3 linked regions of the Caenorhabditis elegans genome follow. The protein of the gene in region 3 interacts with the protein of the main gene of each other region in a pairwise test. Each region holds a gene or a part of one and is shown on either strand. Other genes may lie near its edges.

Region 1 (5,470 bases), on a different chromosome or scaffold from region 3:
TACTACAAAAATATTGCTATTTAATATTTTCATATTAGATTTGAGTTGCCTGAGAATTGGAGTTTTAAAAAATCGAAAACGAGGTGCAAACGCGTTTCAACACCAAATGAAAACGATCCGCCCCCAAACGTTGGGTCTCATTGGGTATTGGCGGCAAAACCAGAAATTCAAACGTTTTCGAACATTATTCAACTGTTTTGTTCTTTTTCGTGATTTTTATGTGGTATAAAAATATAAAAATATAAAAAAAAACGTATCTGAAATTGAAAAATGAATACGCTCGTTTGATTCGGTTTTATATGTTCTTTTTGACATTAAAAAATAATTTTTTAAAAACAGAAAAAATTACAAAAAAGGTCTAAAAACTCTTGAAACCGGCGAAATCAGCGAAAATAATTTGAATTTCTGGTTTCCGGCCGCCAATTCCTAACGAGACCCGTCGTTTAGGGCGGAGCTTTTCACTTGACTATGAGGCGCGCTATTTTCTGCTGCCCAATAATATCTTTGAAAGTATGTTTCAAATTGGCAACAAAACAATTATTAAAACCCGTTTATTGAGCTGAAAATAAATTGTCTAATTTCTTAAAATATATTTTTATCCATTCATGTTTCATCGGGCTCATTGGCTTTGAATTTCAAAGCTTCATCGTCAGAATGAGATCTGAAACACATCGATTTACTTGATTATTACTTATAAGTTCCCCCAAACCTCATATGCGTACGAATCCCTCGCATACTGAATGCTCGGTAGCCGCACACCAAACATGTGAATGTCTTCGTTGTCTGATGCGATGATCGAATGTGCATAGATAGCTGCGAGGACGATGTCGGCACAAAATCGCATTTTGTACACTTCTCCGGTACCTACAAATCTCCTTTTTTTTCTTTCTTTTTTCGTTCTCAACTCAAGCTTGTGCACAAGCTCTCTTTCACTGGCTCGCCATAATTCAAGATTGCAATCAGAAAGAGGCTCGGAGAGATCACGAAAACTGATAAACTGGGAAATGAAGAAACTGAGAAATAAAAGTGTATCTCACCTTTCTCAAAGAATCATTTCTGTGTGGTCCACCACCTGGAGATGATACACGAGTTGTGTGGCTACAGTACAGTTGCTTATGCGCGTCATACGTGGTCTGAGACGAAAACGAGACTCCACAAGTGCACGAGAATGGTCTTTCCGGGTAGATTGGCTCACTGCTCGAGCTTTTTGAAGTTGGAGAACAACTGGCTGAGAGTGATGGAACACTTGGTGCATGGGGTGATGAGGATAAATCCAGAGGAGTTGAAGTTCTTACATTCCTGAATAGAAAAATAAAATAAAAAAGATTTTCATTTATTACGAGAACACGAAATTCTGAAAATGCGTATTACGCAACATATTTGACGCGCAAAATATCAAAACTACAGTAGTTCTTTAAATGACTATTGTAGCGCTTGTGTCGATTTACGGGATCGTTTTTCGAAATGAATTATTTATCAATAGAATATTAAAAATTAGAAACGAATGGAATATCACTGCCGCTTTTCAAAAATATATGCGAACAAGCCCATAAATAGGCACAAGCGCTACAGTAGTCAATTAAAGTAGTTTTCGCTTCGAGATATTTTCGCGTCAAATTTGTCGCACATTTGTCGCATTCTGAGTTTTGTATTCCCGTTATATAAAGGTTAAAAATGTTCCTTTTGAAATCAAGGTCCGCCCCTAAACGTTGGGTCTCGATAGGTATCGGCGCCAAAACTATCAATTTAAATTATTATGTTTTGTCGCCTGTCGTTTTAATTATTTTTAATTTCAAAAATGATGATATAAAAATGCATTCTTCAAACATCATTTTGACATGAATACATATCATGAAAAACAGCAAAAAAGTCGAAAAATGGTTGAAAACGTTTGGATTTTGCCGTCAATTCCTACCAGGACCACATGGAGTCAGAAAGTCCCATTTCGCTTTGATCTTCAAAAAATGGCGGGAGGAGAGACGCAGACATCTCATCTGATTTTGCATGATTAAGAGCATGCTGACGTCACATTTTTTCCGGAAAAAAATTCCCGCATTTTTTGTAGATCAAAGTGCAATGAGACTGTTTGACACCACGTGCAGGACCCCACATTTCGGGGCGGAGCGTTTTTAATTATCTGTGGAGCGCGCTTGCATAATAAGACTGTGTTGCAAAAGAAAAAACCAACTTCTCATCCAAATTGATAATAGGAATCTGCACGGAGAGTTTCGAAGTTGAAAAGTTTGGCATTTCCAATTTTCTCTTGTTATGAATGAGCAAAGGATTTGAGTTGATTAATGCCGAATTTCGTCCAATAGTAACAGGACCCACTACCTAAAAGTTCAATTGAAATTAACAACTAGCTTTCAAACTGAGTTACCTGAAAGGGATTCTGCTGAAAGAGGTCATGAAACGCCATTGGCAACAAAATAACATTTTGTTGTTTTCGAGAATCCGCATTTTCAACTACATTTCCGAGTTTCTTCTTACTACAGTACAAATCTTCATGAACTTTCAAATTGTGAAGGGAGTTGAATTTTGCCACGTGACAGTGTGGACATTCGTGTTCTGAAATTTCGAAATGCAGTTCTTTTCGAAAAGCAAAAAAGCTCACTTTTCTCCAACTTTTCTTGCTCCAGACGATAGTTCATATCAGCGACAAGAATGGCTCGAAGTGGCTCCACGGTCGTCAGATTTTTTGTGAAAAGAATTGTGAACACGGGACCTGAAACATTGGCCTAGGTGAAGTTGAAATTTCAAAAAAGTCGTTTGGTGGACTAATTAGTGAAAGCTAGGCAGGACATGAATTGTCTTTGAGTGCAAAAATATCCGTTTGGGTGGCCTAGTTTTCAATTTCTAGGCCATGTCGTGTGGCTCGCATACCTGTCTGCATAATGACACAATTAGCTAGAAGTGGACCTTGGGCTGCTTGAATTCTCCGCGTCACTGGATTCGATTCCATCTCGAAACCCATCGATTCACCGGTGAAGTTGGAGAGCTGGAAATTAAGGAGGTTCTACGGTGCATTTGTGCGGGGAATATGGTGTATTGTGTCTGTCGAATCAGAAGAATTCAATGCGCCAAAAGTTACGCGCAAATTTGAGAACCCACCGGTAGTCAGAATCCAGTTTTGATCTACAGATATTGCGCCAACTTCTATAACTTACAGTATATGCTTTAACTTACAGTAATCCTCAACAGTTGTCCATTGCCGCTCACAGAATACGGTCCAACACAATCGCCACATCTAAACTCGATTGGTGCGGTCATAACTTGTTTTCGTATTGACTGCAAACTTTTGATGATAATTCAGTCCTCAATATTCAACAAAAAAAGTTTTACGCGATGTGTAAATTTAATTTTCTAATTTTTTTTGCGTTATTTTTGTAATTTTGAATTTATATTTATCATCATTTCCCTATTCATTAATCAATATTTTTGTTTGTCAAATGTAGCGTTTTGGGTCTCGCAACGCTTAATTCTTTTGAGTTTACTGTACTGTAATTTCACCTTTCATAAGAAAACCGATAATAAAAATAAGAACAAATCAAATTTCAACAAGTTGTCAGAAAAAGGTGCAAGATAACATTACTTATTAGAAGAGCACACCTTTTTGCATTTCACAAAAATTTGTAGTGTCGAGACCGGGTTTGAAGCAAAAATCAAAAAATCTACTGTAACTCACGCTAGCTATTGTATTATGCAGAATCGATTGGTTTACATCCATTGTATATAAATGAAGTGGCCGAATGAGAAAACGAAAGAAGAGGCTTCCGACGAAGAAAGATGGGCTCGAGTGAGCGATAAGATCTCAGGGACAACGCGGGGCGCAGAGCAAGTTGTGCGTGCTCCGGCACTCCGAGTCACACAGATTTTGATGATAAGGTGAAGAAGAAGAAGACAAAAGGAAGATTGGGAAGAGCAGATGAAGTGACTGAACAACTGAAATAGATTGAATCTCCGGTTGGAATGAATATTAGATTAGTAGAGATTTGAGAGGAAAAGTTGAGTAGTGAACATTGCGCGTGAAATGTGATGCATTGAGTTGGCAGGTGCTTTAAGAGCAAAATATGAAATTTTAATAGAGAAAATCTAATGTTTTAAACTTCTGAATATTGCTTTGTTTTTGAAATTAATTATTTATGAGAATCTCCAAAGTACTGTCAGATTGAAGCCTTTTACCTTAGTGCATAATTTGAGCTACGGTAATTATTTTTTTGCGTATTAAATGTGCTTACACTTCAACAGTTTAAAGGTACATAGATGTTTCTAGAATATTTTCATAGATGGCTGATTCAAAATTAAAAGCTCTATATAGTAAAGTAATATTATAACATTGACTTTTGCCTACCGAATATCTCAATTATCGCCGTCTTCCTTACTGATCATTATCTACCCCAATTTTTATCTTTAATCAGTTACCACAATCTCTTATCATCTGTGATTCAGTTTAACTATACATGTAGGGATGTTCCCAGTTGTCGACTGTAGACATTTCACTAGGTTGAGGCGTGACGGGGGCGCCTCTCTCTCTCTCTCTCTCTCTCTCTCTCTCTCTCTCTCTCTTCGCCCTTCTCGCGCCCTATCCGTGCAATTCACTTATATACACGCTATAGCTATACAGCGAACTTTATTTTCTTCTTCTACGGTTTCAAAGGCGCACGTATTTATGCGAAATGGTCTCACCACGCGTTACTCATTAATGTTTTTTTTTTTCAATCAATGGGTTGCGCGTAGCGAGGCCATTCCGCTTAAATACGCGTTTATTTTTTTATCAATATAATATCAATTGGAATTATTTTAAATGAAAGAGAAAAAACCCCAAAGCAGAGTTCAAAAGATGTTCGTGCACGATCGTGTAGCAGCAAATCGGCGGCCGAGTTTTTTCTTTCATTTCCGCGGCCGCACAATAATCATGACGGTTTTACTGCATGACCAAGAGAGAGAGAGAGAGAGAGAGAGAGAGAGAAAATCTCGGCCATCAAGGTTTTCATGCAAAATTCAAGTTATCGACAGTTTCCGAAACGCAAAAACATGTGCCAATTTTTTCTCAGAAAAAAACTCACGAAAAATCAGGATAGTGCATACTATAAAAAATAAAATACTGAAAGTATGTATTCTCACAGTTCTCTCTAAAAGCCGCCACGTGGCAATGTCAAAAATTCAAAAGTGCCACCGGTTTTTTTCGAATTAAAACTCAAAAAAGTGATAAAAATGTATTATTACTGATGAAAATGTGAGGAAGAGGAAAAAGAAAGTGAGCCTGTGTGATATTATCATATCAGTTGAATTGAATCAGTGGAGTATGTGCTGATAGGGTTTCTTATCAGTTTCAACTAAAAAAACTAAACGACACCGATTGATTGCAAAACATCAGCTGATTGCAGATGTATGACGTGGCAGGAGGCACTGAAAAGCAAAAAAAGGTTCAGGAAATGTAGGAAAAAGGAAAAGCGGTGATAAAACTATA
Region 2 (5,019 bases), on a different chromosome or scaffold from region 3:
TTGGAAGAATTTCGACGGATTCGTTGAATTGTTCATATGTAAATGTGGGAATTCGAGTAGTTGGTTGAAAAACTCTAATATTTGGAATTCGAGGACGAGGTAGTTGAGGTTTTACACAAGATTCTGCCATTTCTGAAAATATCGATTTTTATTTTTCGACGTTAATTTTTTATGGGCCTTCCTGGACCTTTAGAAAGTTTTTAGCAAATTAAAAAAGGTATATCTAAAAAAATTTGTTTTGGATTTTGTGAAATTTGAAAAAAACAATTAATTGGTTTTTTACATTCTAAACCCTTTTAAAACATTTTATAGAAAATTGGGCTCAAAAAAAAAGTACCGCTACATTTTTTCGAACTGCTCAAAAATAGCTTGCTGAAAGTTTGAAAATGTTAAAAAAAATTTCAAAATCTCATCTTTTCAATTTTTGCGAAAGGAGAAAGTTTCAAAATATATTGGCAAACAATAAAAAAAAAGCAAGTATAATTAAACAGTAAAAATACTGAATACGGAAAAGAAAAAAAATTTGAAAAATCTGAGAAAAAAAATCTTTATTAAAAAAAGAAGCAAAAAGAAACTCGTAGGTTAACCAAAATAAACTGAAAATTGTGAGAATTAATTCTCACAATTTTTCTAGAATTTGAATGAAAAAAATGGTTAAAAAATGCAAAATTTAATAGTGGCCTAGAAATTTGAAATTTGAATAACTCTTCCATTTTAAAAACTAATTGCTGGGTGGAATAGAAAACTGAATATATGAAGTAGAAAATGCTAGTTACCCTATAAGTTGCCTAGATATTGGAAAATGAAAGAGCTTTTTCAAGTTTCTGGTCAAAAATGAACAGTTTTTTGATCTTCCATGCTTCCTCCTTGCTCCACAAATTCCTCTTCATCATCTTCAAAATGAGCCAAGATCTTGACGTCATCACCATCACCAGTGAGCATTATAATCTGATTGTTCTGTTCATGATCATCTTCATAAACAATAACTGAATCCTGTGATTCCTCGTGATTCACTTGAACATGATCGAAAATTGGTGTGAAGAGCTCGGGATGTGCATTTTTTCGATGTCTCATGAGATATACACGACGAGCAAATACTGCATTACATCCTTTTACAACGCATGTGTAACGTTTTATACCTGGAATGTTTCAAAAATTGTAATTTTTGTAGATGACTACTCTTTTAAATATTTTTGAGTTAACATATTTTCAATAACACTCTTAATTTGAGAAAATTCTAAAATTTGCAACAAAAAAAAATGGAAATTGCTTTCTTTTTCTAAATTACCCCCGGTTTTAACCCAAATTTCGGATAGTAAAATATATTTTGAATATTTACCAGTGTGTACAGTCATTTCATGTTCTTTTCTAACAGAATCCGTTACAAAAGACAATCCACATCTCCAAGTACATTCAAATGGACGTTCTCCAGTATGCATTCGACGAATATGTACTTTTAAAGAGCTCGCTTTTGACAATGACAAGCCACATTCTCCACATTCAAATGGTTTTTCGCCTGTGTGTGTTCGGATATGATCCTGAAAAATGGGAAAGAAATTTGTATTTAAAAATAAATTTATCTTTCTTTTTTTTATTAAAAATTGTAATTTTTGATTTCAAAGTTTAGAAAATTCAACAATTTTCGATATAATAAATCATATTATATTTTTCTAGAAATTTCAGAACTTGAGAGGTTTATAAATAGAGAGAAAATTGGAAATTTTGTTTTTTAACACATTTAAACCTATAAGCTTTGATTTAAAAAATTTTAATTACAAATATTTTTTTCTGTTTGCTCAGAAAATCAAGTTTCGAATGCTTTTTATCGAAAAAATTGTTTCTCTGTCCAATTCTCAATTTTTCAGCAAAAATTCAGCTTGTGGGCACTGAAATAATTTTAATTTTTCATTTTTCACCAAAATTCGTTTTTTATCGAAAAAAAAACTAACAGCAATTTTGCTCGGATGTTTAAGCATTAATCCACAAATATTGCATTGTGCAAGTGTTGCTCTTCGATTTGAAATATATGCTCTTTTCTGAGGAGCTTTTTCTGGTTCTTCGATCGGAATTTCTTCATCAATCGGAGCCAAAACTCGAGCCAATACTGTATTAATAACGTCATCAATTCGAGCATTAGATATTGCAGCTTTTTCCATTTCTTTTTCTGATGGATATATAGATTGTTTTGTTGTTTGATTTGATGATTGAAATTGAGAAGGTGAAGAGGAAGAAGTTGATGGATCACTTTGAAATATTGAGTCTCTGCAAAGTTATTTTAATTTCTTTTAAATTTACCAATTCGGAAATAAGATGGAAGTTTTCGAATTTAGAAATTTTCAGGAGTTTTATTTAAATTATCAAAGTTTTTTATTAATTAAAACACCGATTTTTTAAATGTTGTTTTAAAATTTGTTAAAGAACAAAAAGTGTTAAAATCTCAATTTTAAAGATTGCTGATTAAACACCGCAATTCACTTTTTAAAAAATGTAAAATCTTATAATTCTTGTTTTTTGTTGTAATTTTTATTTATTTTATCAAGTTTAGTTCACTTCTGCATATACTTACATCGTTGGTGGTGATATATAATTAGCTAGTGCAGAATTTGAAAGTATATCCATATCCATTGATGGACAAACAATCTTTTTAACTGGTTTCAGATAAGGCCGTGCCGGTCCTGCTCGCTTCTGCAAAAAATATATCTTATTCCGGTAATCTTTTAGGATATAAATGCTTGATTCGATGTTTTAAATTTTTCTATAGCATAAAAACTTTTCTTACCAATCCATTATGGCTTAATTCGTGTGCAGTTCTGCGTGAATTATTCACAAATCGTTTGCCACAACCGAAATTACACAGAAATGGGAGATCACCCATGTGTTGAACACGAAAATGGTTAATCATTGGAGTTCTTTGAGTGAATCTCATTCCACAAATGTCACATTCGTATGGTTTTTCGCCTGTGTGAGTTCTCATGTGTTCCTGAACAAATAAAAATCTTCATTTTGTTATAAAAATAAAATATTCTGTACCATAATCCTCGATGGATATTTCAACGCAACTCCACATACTTCGCACGTCGTCACCGTCGGCAACTTTTGATTTCCTTTCCTTCAATTTTATATTTAATAAATTTTTAGCACAAAAATTTCATACTTTTTTCTGTATGTCGAATCTGGAATCTTGACAATCTCCTCGAGCTCTTCGTGCTCTTTTTGCGCGTCGGGAGTGCACTCAGCTGCCCATTCCTCGAAAATTGCATCGGAATTCTGAAAATTTTTGATTTTCTTAATGAAAATTGGAAAACTAAATTGAAATTAGTTATTTTACTTGCGATAAATGTACTACTTCGTCTAAATCCTCGTTATTCTTCATTTTGGTTGTTTATCGAATTTTAGGATCTGGAAAAATACACAATTAATGGCAATAAGGAAGATTTAATCATATAAACATAAAAATTTTAAAGATTAATAATATTTATATGAAAGGAAAAATTCAACAAAAACTGTTTTAAATAGAAGAAAAAGTCAAATATTGATTTTTTGCGAATAAAAAATAAAATTGAAAATAAACAACGACACTCCGATATCCCGTCTTCGAAAGAGCGCGAAATTTGAATTGAGGGTTTAATAAATATAATTCTTTGCAACGGCTGAAATCTTGTTTCTTAACGAGACAGAAGAAGAAGTAATGAATAGATCATTGCCATCACATCTTCATTTCCATTCAAATATTGGAGTTTAATCTTTAAATTGATAAAAGCCGTTCGGATAACATACGAGTAGAAAATGTTCATAGTGAAACAGCAGCACGTTGATCATGCAAATTCATAAGGAAATCAGGAAGTTTTACGAGTCTAAGAAATAGGCGAATGTTTTGTGTTGTGTATTGAGCGTTAGACAAGGAGATTTACGTAGATAGAATATTTTACTTTTAACGTAGATAGAATATTTATTATGAACATACGAGAAGGAATGTGAATAAAGGCTCAATACTCGAGAAATCGAAGAAAAAGAAATTGAGATGCAACATGGAATTTAATAACGATCTCCGTGATGGCGTGAGCGATCTCTTGAATAATCCCGCTTTCTTCTTCTATAGTCACGACGATGGTGATGCTCTGAACGTCTGGGGGTCCACTCATCTGTCGAGGGGCTTCGGCGACCACGCTGTGAAATTTACAGATAGATTTAGTTGGTTTTTTCGCATGATCGAGGAATAAACTAGGTCATTTTGCAAATTACTCACCCTCTGGTTTCTCAATGGCGATTTCGGTGTATGTTCCCTGTTACGTGGCTGGTGTCCTGCTCCACGTCCCCGTTGATTAGATGGAGACATCGGCGATCGCCTTGAGGGGCCCTCCTCCCGCTGCTCGGAGACGTCTGAAATGTTTGAAATCGAAACGATGGTCTGGGACCGCTTTGCTTCCGGAGAGATGAGGTTCCGGAATCAGCTTGTCCACAGCTAGAGTTGACAATGGTGCACCGAAAGACGAAGAACTCGCCCTATTCCCAAAAAAGTTCCCAAAAGCTGGCTGGGCCAAGCGAGGAGTGGAAGGACCTGTAAAGTCGAAGCTGCCTTCTCCAGATCTTTCCTCGACGGCTGGGATTGATGACCCGGAGACCGCACGATCGGAGAGGAATCCTAGACGTGCTGGTGCAGATGAATCTTCTGGCGCCTTTCCACGTGAGCTGGTAGGAACAACATTCTCTAACCGTGACATAGTCACAGTCTTGATGAACTGAACATCAGGAGATGAGGAGCCATCTCTCTGAGGCCCTCTGGAGTCTTTTGGGAGCTGGCGTACTTCGCAAAAACCCATATTTGGTGCAGGGCTCCTTGTAGTAACCTCTTCTTTAATTGGAAGAGCTGATGTGGAAGAACTGTTGAGCTCTACATCGATTTCCGGAACCTGGTGGCTGTAGGATGTTTTCTTCCTCGAGATCTGATTGAAACACGGAAGATCATCATAAGCAGGAGTTCCTCCAGTCCTCCGAGTGTTGTGGGCATAATTGGAGGAA
Region 3 (7,060 bases):
TTCGAGACCGGACGCCTTAGTTTGGTGTAAAAATCGTAAGGTTTTGCGTCTCGGTAATATATTTCAGGTAATTTTCCCCTCTAAAGTTATTGATATTATAAAAATTTTCAGCATCTGATACATCAATGGATTGTCACATGGAATCTATCGGAAGTCGTCGCCGTGACAGTTTAATCGAACAATTCCGCGATTTTTTGAACCGATCAATGGATTTTAGTGTCAAGATTGATGATCCATTTGAAAAAGAAATGTATTAAAATTATATCGTTTTCTTGTTGATTTTTGTAATTTTATATGTTGAAATTGTAATTTTTTGTTTCTGTAAATAAATGTACTTATATTGATTCGAAAATTTTAGATTTAACAGTTTTAGTTTCACTTCCGTATTTAGAAACATGGATTTTTGAATCGAGACTTTGGAGAACGATAGAAGCAATAAAATATTATAAAACACAACACACATGGAATATTCGTTTAAACAGAACGAGAGATTCAACAATTAAAGTCAAACAACAATGGCATTATTTTATTGCTAACTAAAAAGAGATAATTGAGAATTGTTATCTTAGATATGAAACGCTAGGATATACTAACACACAGAAACTAAATTTGATGTTTGAAAGCGAAGGAGATTTAGATTTTTCGAGAAATTTTCTTAAAATTTCGCACAAGCTGATTTGGAATACTGGAAGGTTAAGGGAAATATTTGAAGATTGAACGGTTTTAGAAGGAAAATGCATATATAATATTGATGGCGGCTTTACCATCGAGAGCCTCGATCATCTCGATTGCCACGATATGACGAACGGGAATGATGATTGGAAGACGAAGAATTATATTCGGAACGACGAGAAGATCCTTCAGTTGTTTCAGAATTGTTGTTGTAGTTATTTCGACTAACAAATGGAGAATTGAAACGATTCGATGATGAATGTCCCCGTTGGTTTCGTTGATGGAATGAACGATTGCTGTAGTTACGAGGGTTACTGTAGTCATTTCGAGACCATCTTTCATCGTAGTTTCTGTTGGAAGAACGTTCACGTGATGTCGATCTTCTTGAGCTACTGAAATTAGAAATTATATATTGTAATGATGGTTAAAACTGATCTGATTTTGAATTTAACTGCTTAAAAATTAAAACGTTTATAATTTTTTAATGATTTTTTTTCCATATCTTACTATCGTAATAAATATAAATGAAAATTAAATTAAATTAAAGATGGGCTAATTATTTTTAAATTCCCTGGCTGAACAAATGTTTTTCAGTATAAAAAATATTTAATATGAAGATGAGTTTTTCAATTTTTAGGCCAAAATAAATTCACTAAAACTTCAAAACTGACTTAAAAACAGTTTCACCGTTATAAATAATTTTTTCGCGGAAAACGAGCTGAAAACGTTAAACTAGGCAATTCATTAACGCGAGAATTTGAAAATAATTAGCCCATCTTTTTTTAATTTTGCAAAATTGATAGGAAACATCAAAAGTTGTTTTTTTTTAATTTTCAGATATTTCGTAAAAACTCACACATTTTCATTATATTTATTCTCCAAAACGTTTGTCGCACTGAGAATTCGAGTTGGAAGCAGTGATGCAATTGGCGGATTCATTGGATCTGGAGATGTAGCTGGTGGTGGAACAATTGGCTCATATGGTGAGAAGATTGATGGAATTGGAATTGATGGTAGAGTACTGAAAATAATAAAATAATATGGAGTACTGAATCTTTCCAAAAACGGGCAATTTTCAAAAAATTTCAAAAAACTTTCAAAAGGAATTAATATGTAACCTTACGGGAGAAAAATATTAATCTAAACTATTTACGTAAGAAAAAAACATCAAAACGAAATATTCAAAAAGGTTCAATTTCATCAGTTCTTATTTTTAATCATTTCACTCATCTGTTCGATTATCATTTTTCAATAAATCGAACTGTAATAGTGAGTTTATTTTTTTCGTCTATCGTTTCCGTTGAAGAACAATTTCCGCACACTTCCAGGCACGTGTGTAGTAGTTCAAAAATGTGTGTCACAAAGTGTAAGCAGAAGAAGAAAATGAAATCGGCGAAGAAGAATCTATCGACTCCTGGTACTGGTGGAAGTGTTAATCCCGAAATGAAGTCAATTTCACATTCGACAACAGCTCAATCGGGAGAGAAGGGAGCAAGCAAAATGGCAAAAGTTCCGTCCAAGGAGGTAAGAGAGGGATGGAAATATTATTAGAAGGGCGCAGATAAAAGTGGTGTTTGGCGGCGAAACCGTAAATTTAAAAAAAAATTCAGTTAGTTTCGCCAATTCTCAAGAGTTTTCAGGCATTTATTATTGGAAAATGACTTTTTTCAGAAGAGCAAGGGACCAAGGCAAAGTGATCGTGATGCAAAGGATGAACACAACGAGGCGGTGTCTCAACTCAAGAAGATTGCCGAAAAAGCTTCAGAAATGTCACATGGACCATCTGTAGCTCCACCAAGAAAACTGTAAGCACAATAATAACTAATTTCCCAATCATTCTCATTACAGTGACGCGAAACGCACTGTGACCGGAATGAAGGAAAGCAAAGATCCCGAGTATGTGACGCTGGATGACGATTTTCCGAAATTCGAGAAAGCAATACTGAAGGGCAACTCTAAAGAGGTGAGGAGTATTTATTTTTAGACTAATCTAAATATTTTCTTATTTTCCCAGGCTACGGAAACTCGAAAACTTGAGATAACGCAACAATTGTCTGTTGATGAAAAGAAGATTGCAGGAAGCAGCGAGAAAACTACTTAAAAACGAATAAAGCTTAATCTATGCAATTTTTACCTGTTATTTTCCTCTTTCGGTTGCTCTTCCTCTGTTTCTTCTTTAACTGGAATCTCATTTATTTCCATTGTAACATCATTCATAAGCACGTCTTCCACATCAATGATCTCTGGCTTTATTCTGACGATCTGCGACAGTTTTTGAGCAACTTCCGTATTGAATTGATGACATATGTATATGACGTCTTGCGGGAAATCATCGGTTCCACCAGTTTCGGAAACTTCTCCCGTAGCCACCGACGCTGCTTCTTCATGTTCTGAATCAGAATCGGACGACGAAGATCGGTTCGCATTGTATTGAGGAGCACGGCGAGTTTTCTGAAAATGTGTTTTGTAAGAATTGAAAAATTAAATTTCAATTAAAAAAAAATTTGGATGTCACTCTTGGTCGTGATGACTCCCGTAGATAATTTTTCTAAAAACTTACGTTAACGTCTCTCACTCGAACATCTGTGTCAAACGAGCGATCGACAGGAGCGCGGTTAACAGAATCCGACTTCTCCTGAATCTCATAATTACCCAGAAAACTTTAATAATTCAACAAACCCCAACTACAGTCTTATTCTCAATTGCTTCTAATCGAGACCACGGAAAGCATTTATTGATCATCTCGTTTATCATAGCATTTCGACGGCGACGAACTTGTTGAAATGTTGCATTTTTGTACACTGCCATGCTCGCTTTGTGTGTCTGGAATTCTTTGATTTTTTTTGTCAATTTCCTAGCTTTATTATAAATTAAATAAATAAAACTATACATCTTTCATATGAGAACTCAAATCACACTGTCTTCTGAATCCTTTTTCACATTCTCCAACTGGACATGTTAGCGGTGGAAGACTCGTCGTGTGCAGCTTCTCGATATGCTCTCGGCGCATATTTTTTCGAACTTCAGCACCAGTCATGCAAAGTTGACAAGCAAGATCCGAATTTGGGAGATCTGGATACGATCGATCCATCTGAAACTCATTTTTTCTTAATTTAAAAACTGCAACCTAGTTAGGATAAATGTAGATACAGGGTCAAAACTTATAATTTCAGTATGATAATCAATTAATTCAAATTAAAAATTAATATAACAGTGTGGGGGAAATGTTCATTCGATCTGAATATGATATTTATTTTTGAGAAAAAAACTCGAAAATTATCTCAAAAAGTGCAGGAAAGTCACCGTCAGGGCTGTAGATTTTTCGTTTTTTGTTTCGAAAAAAATAAGAATAATTCTTTTTTTTTCCTTCTCGAATTCAGATTTGCCTCAAAATGAAATATCATATTCCTTTTTTAAATTTGTTTTTGTAGATTTGCTGCACAGCCTTGTTCTCAATTTAATTTGTTTTCCTGTACATACCGCAGTTTTCAGCAAATCATCATAATCTTCTGGTGCTACATCAGCTGCCATGTGGGAACGAGTCACGTGTCCTTTTCGGAGAACTGTAAGATAAAAACTAAATTCGAATTTAGAGATTTCAAAAACTCACTAAAATCATAAACTATTTCTTCATTACAAACCGCACATTTCACTTTTGCAGCATCTCGTCTCTCTGGAACATTTGGATCAAACCATCCAATTAGTTTATCAATCGCTGACATTTCATCGTAATTTGCATTTTTTCCAGCTTTCTCTTGATTTTGAGCTGCTGTCATTGACTCGTTTCTTTTCTTCCTCGGTTTCTTTGTTTTATCAATAGATATATTATGTTCACTGGTTGTTGAATCAACTATAGCTTGAGCTGAACTTGATGAAGCTGGCTGAGCTGATGTTGAGGAGGCGTTGGGGCAGAGTGAGCTGAATATATCATTTTTAAAACGAGGGCTTTGTCGGAATCTAGGCATTGTTAAAATTGTATTTAGTGAATAAATACCTCTCAGAATTATTTGTTCTTCTATTTAAAAATGCAAATGGTGAAGTCGTAGAAGTTCCCGATTTTGCCTTTTTTGGCACTGGAGGAGATGTTGGAGTTACGACGGAACTTCTTTTATTCTTTGCACTATCAGTAGGAGTCTTTTTAACAGGTGAAGTCGGTGACACTGATCTCGGATCTCTTCCCCATCGCTTCTCAAGCACAGTTTCCATATCGTCAGTCGCTAGGGCGTATGCGTCTTCCACAACAACCGATATCATTTTGTCAATGTATGGGTTTACTGTCTTCTGAAGAAAAAAAACAATATTTTTAATTGTAGAAAATCGTCTCAAAACCTGAAAAGAGCGCTTGTGTCCGTGTTTCGAGCAATGAGCATTGAGCTCCTGTTGTGTGTAGAATCCCATATCACATGTGCTCTCTCCGCATGCATATCTCCTAAAATTATATATGAATTTAATAATAGAAATAACATTTAAAATCCTCACTTGTACTTAAAATGTTTGTAGAAGTGTGCGCCTTCCTCTTTCAGCGTTTCGCAGCACAATGGACACACTAATTGGTTCATATCTTAAAAATACGATTTCATAATTTAATCTCTGGCTGTGATTCAGATGATTGATCGGAAAAAGCGTATTAACTTGAATGATATGATTTGAATGATATTATCCAGCTTGAATGAGTAAAATTTATGTCTTCAGGAGTTTTTTCTCCATGTGGATCCACAAAGAAGACAAAATTAAATACCTTGTATGCTCACATTTTAAAAAAAGTAACAACTTTAGAAAAGTATTACCAGAGCCTTACCAATTGTGTTCTTGCCCATGGAAACTGATTAGAAAAACGAATGCGGGATAAAAATTAAGCCGTCAGAATTCACAAGTTCACTGCAAGAAGATGGGTGTGATATCACTTTACTCAATAAATATTTAAAGTGGAAACAATAAATGAAACTCTGTGACTGAGATACGTGAAGCGTTCACAAACTGGAAGAGGAATAATCGGGATAGAGAAAAATGAATAAAGAATTAAATTAGAGAAATTCAAATTGTATTTTTAATGAAACAATTGGGACTTGAGGAGTTGCTTAAGCTCTCGTTCCGTTCTTTCCTTCCTCCTCTTCGTTGTCTTCGAGATCTGGCATATCTGAAAATTTTTTATAATAAATAACATTTTAATACTACATTGGTTTTCTATCATTAACGAATTACTAATAGTAAGCAAAAAGGATATTATTGCACTTAATACTTACCGTCATCTTCCTCATCATCCTCAAGACCTCCGAAGTCTGCTCCGCCAGCTCCTCCCATCTGGGACATGTACTGGTTCAAATCGAATCCGTTCGCCATTCCACCGCCAATTCCGGCTCCGGCATCCTCAGCCTCATCATCCTCGTCTTCATCCTTCCATTTTCCAAAGTCAACCTTCAACCAATGGACCTTTCCCTTGTTTTGAAGAAGTCTTGGCCACCAGGCTGGGGTCTTCTTCTGAACTGTGATCTCAACGACGCGGGTTGAAGATCCAGTGTGCTTTACGGATGCAGGATCGATTTCGTCGAAGAATTCGAGAGTTGCTTCGTACTTGTCAGTTTTGCTGCTTCCTCTGAAAATTTACGAATTACGACTCATTCTATGTACCATCATGAACATTCTGTGAATATTTAGGAAGCAAGAAATATGCTTCATATCGTATTTAAACATTTAAAATAGAAATCGAAATATTAATCCGAAACGTACTGGAAGTGAAGCTTGTTTCCCTCTCCTTTCAGTTCCTCGATTTTCGCCTCATCAACCTCGATGGTCAGATAGACAAGTGATTCACGCTGGGCCCAGAGAACTGTTGGTTGCTTAGCCATGGTTTTTGCCTGTAATTCGAAAAGAGAACTAGACGGATACGAACAATAATCAATAAAATTCAAGGAAGGTGCACGACATATAAATAAGCGCACAGTTGAAATTAGCATGATTATGCAAATTGACGAAAATAAAGCCATCAGATGAAAATGTTTTCATATCACGGCAATAACAAGCAAGAATTGTCCACTTAATTTCTTTTTTCGATTGATTTTTCTCTTACAACCTTTTTCTCCTAAATACAAGGACTATTGGCCAAAATCGATATATTTTAAGTGCGAATGGCATTGAATATAAACGTAAATGGATTAGAAATATAAAGTCGCGAATGTTCTTCAGGAAAATTGCCATGGAAACGCATAATGAAGATGATAAAACGGCAGAAATTCAAATAATTCGAGAGAGTTCCCAAATCGCGGCGAGACCCAGTGGTGAAAGTGCGCGCGCCTTTGAACGAACACGTCTCCATTTACGAGGTTTTGGCTCATTTCAGCTTAATTTTAAATCGTTCAATGAACATTTTTTGATGGAAATATGGAAGCAA

The links. Proteins that work in one complex are often made in the same cells at the same time.
Region 1: the proteins of ztf-8 (region 3) and F21A9.2 interact in a two-hybrid assay, tested with the Caenorhabditis elegans proteins (one large-scale study listed by BioGRID).
Region 2: the proteins of ztf-8 (region 3) and let-391 interact in a two-hybrid assay, tested with the Caenorhabditis elegans proteins (one large-scale study listed by BioGRID).

The regions. Positions count from the first base shown.
Region 1 is NC_003279.8:3,705,494-3,710,963, forward strand, and holds F21A9.2 (C2H2-type domain-containing protein), read right to left. Parts: upstream 3,943-5,470; 5' UTR 3,728-3,942; coding exon 3,686-3,727; intron 3,289-3,685; coding exon 3,187-3,288; intron 2,999-3,186; coding exon 2,884-2,998; intron 2,726-2,883; coding exon 2,615-2,725; intron 2,569-2,614; coding exon 2,381-2,568; intron 2,335-2,380; coding exon 2,189-2,334; intron 1,300-2,188; coding exon 1,038-1,299; intron 865-1,037; coding exon 710-864; intron 662-709; coding exon 604-661; 3' UTR 537-603; downstream 1-536.
Region 2 is NC_003279.8:6,036,785-6,041,803, reverse strand, and holds let-391 (C2H2-type domain-containing protein), read right to left. Parts: upstream 3,402-5,019; 5' UTR 3,374-3,401; coding exon 3,347-3,373; intron 3,268-3,346; coding exon 3,155-3,267; intron 3,110-3,154; coding exon 3,031-3,109; intron 2,981-3,030; coding exon 2,780-2,980; intron 2,686-2,779; coding exon 2,567-2,685; intron 2,263-2,566; coding exon 1,950-2,262; intron 1,539-1,949; coding exon 1,340-1,538; intron 1,140-1,339; coding exon 829-1,139; 3' UTR 537-828; downstream 1-536. Other genes in the region: szy-5 (C2H2-type domain-containing protein), read right to left, coding at 1-130; C27A12.4 (C2H2-type domain-containing protein), read right to left, coding at 4,323-5,019.
Region 3 is NC_003281.10:5,268,239-5,275,298, forward strand, and holds ztf-8 (C2H2-type domain-containing protein), read right to left. Parts: upstream 5,234-7,060; 5' UTR 5,232-5,233; coding exon 5,152-5,231; intron 5,102-5,151; coding exon 5,002-5,101; intron 4,954-5,001; coding exon 4,667-4,953; intron 4,591-4,666; coding exon 4,283-4,590; intron 4,236-4,282; coding exon 4,153-4,235; intron 3,764-4,152; coding exon 3,563-3,763; intron 3,496-3,562; coding exon 3,352-3,495; intron 3,308-3,351; coding exon 3,233-3,307; intron 3,124-3,232; coding exon 2,807-3,123; intron 2,798-2,806; exon of another isoform or gene 2,774-2,797; coding exon of another isoform or gene 2,687-2,773; intron 2,636-2,686; coding exon of another isoform or gene 2,521-2,635; intron 2,478-2,520; coding exon of another isoform or gene 2,344-2,477; intron 2,197-2,343; coding exon of another isoform or gene 2,023-2,196; exon of another isoform or gene 2,001-2,022; intron 1,942-2,000; exon of another isoform or gene 1,888-1,941; intron 1,694-1,887; coding exon 1,529-1,693; intron 1,065-1,528; coding exon 761-1,064; 3' UTR 517-760; downstream 1-516. Other genes in the region: ZC395.5 (Ovule protein), read left to right, coding at 112-257; ZC395.4 (uncharacterized protein), read left to right, coding at 2,023-2,196, 2,344-2,477, 2,521-2,635, 2,687-2,773; Co-chaperone protein daf-41, read right to left, coding at 5,751-5,809, 5,916-6,265, 6,400-6,518; toc-1 (similar to Transporter Of divalent Cations), read left to right, coding at 7,051-7,060.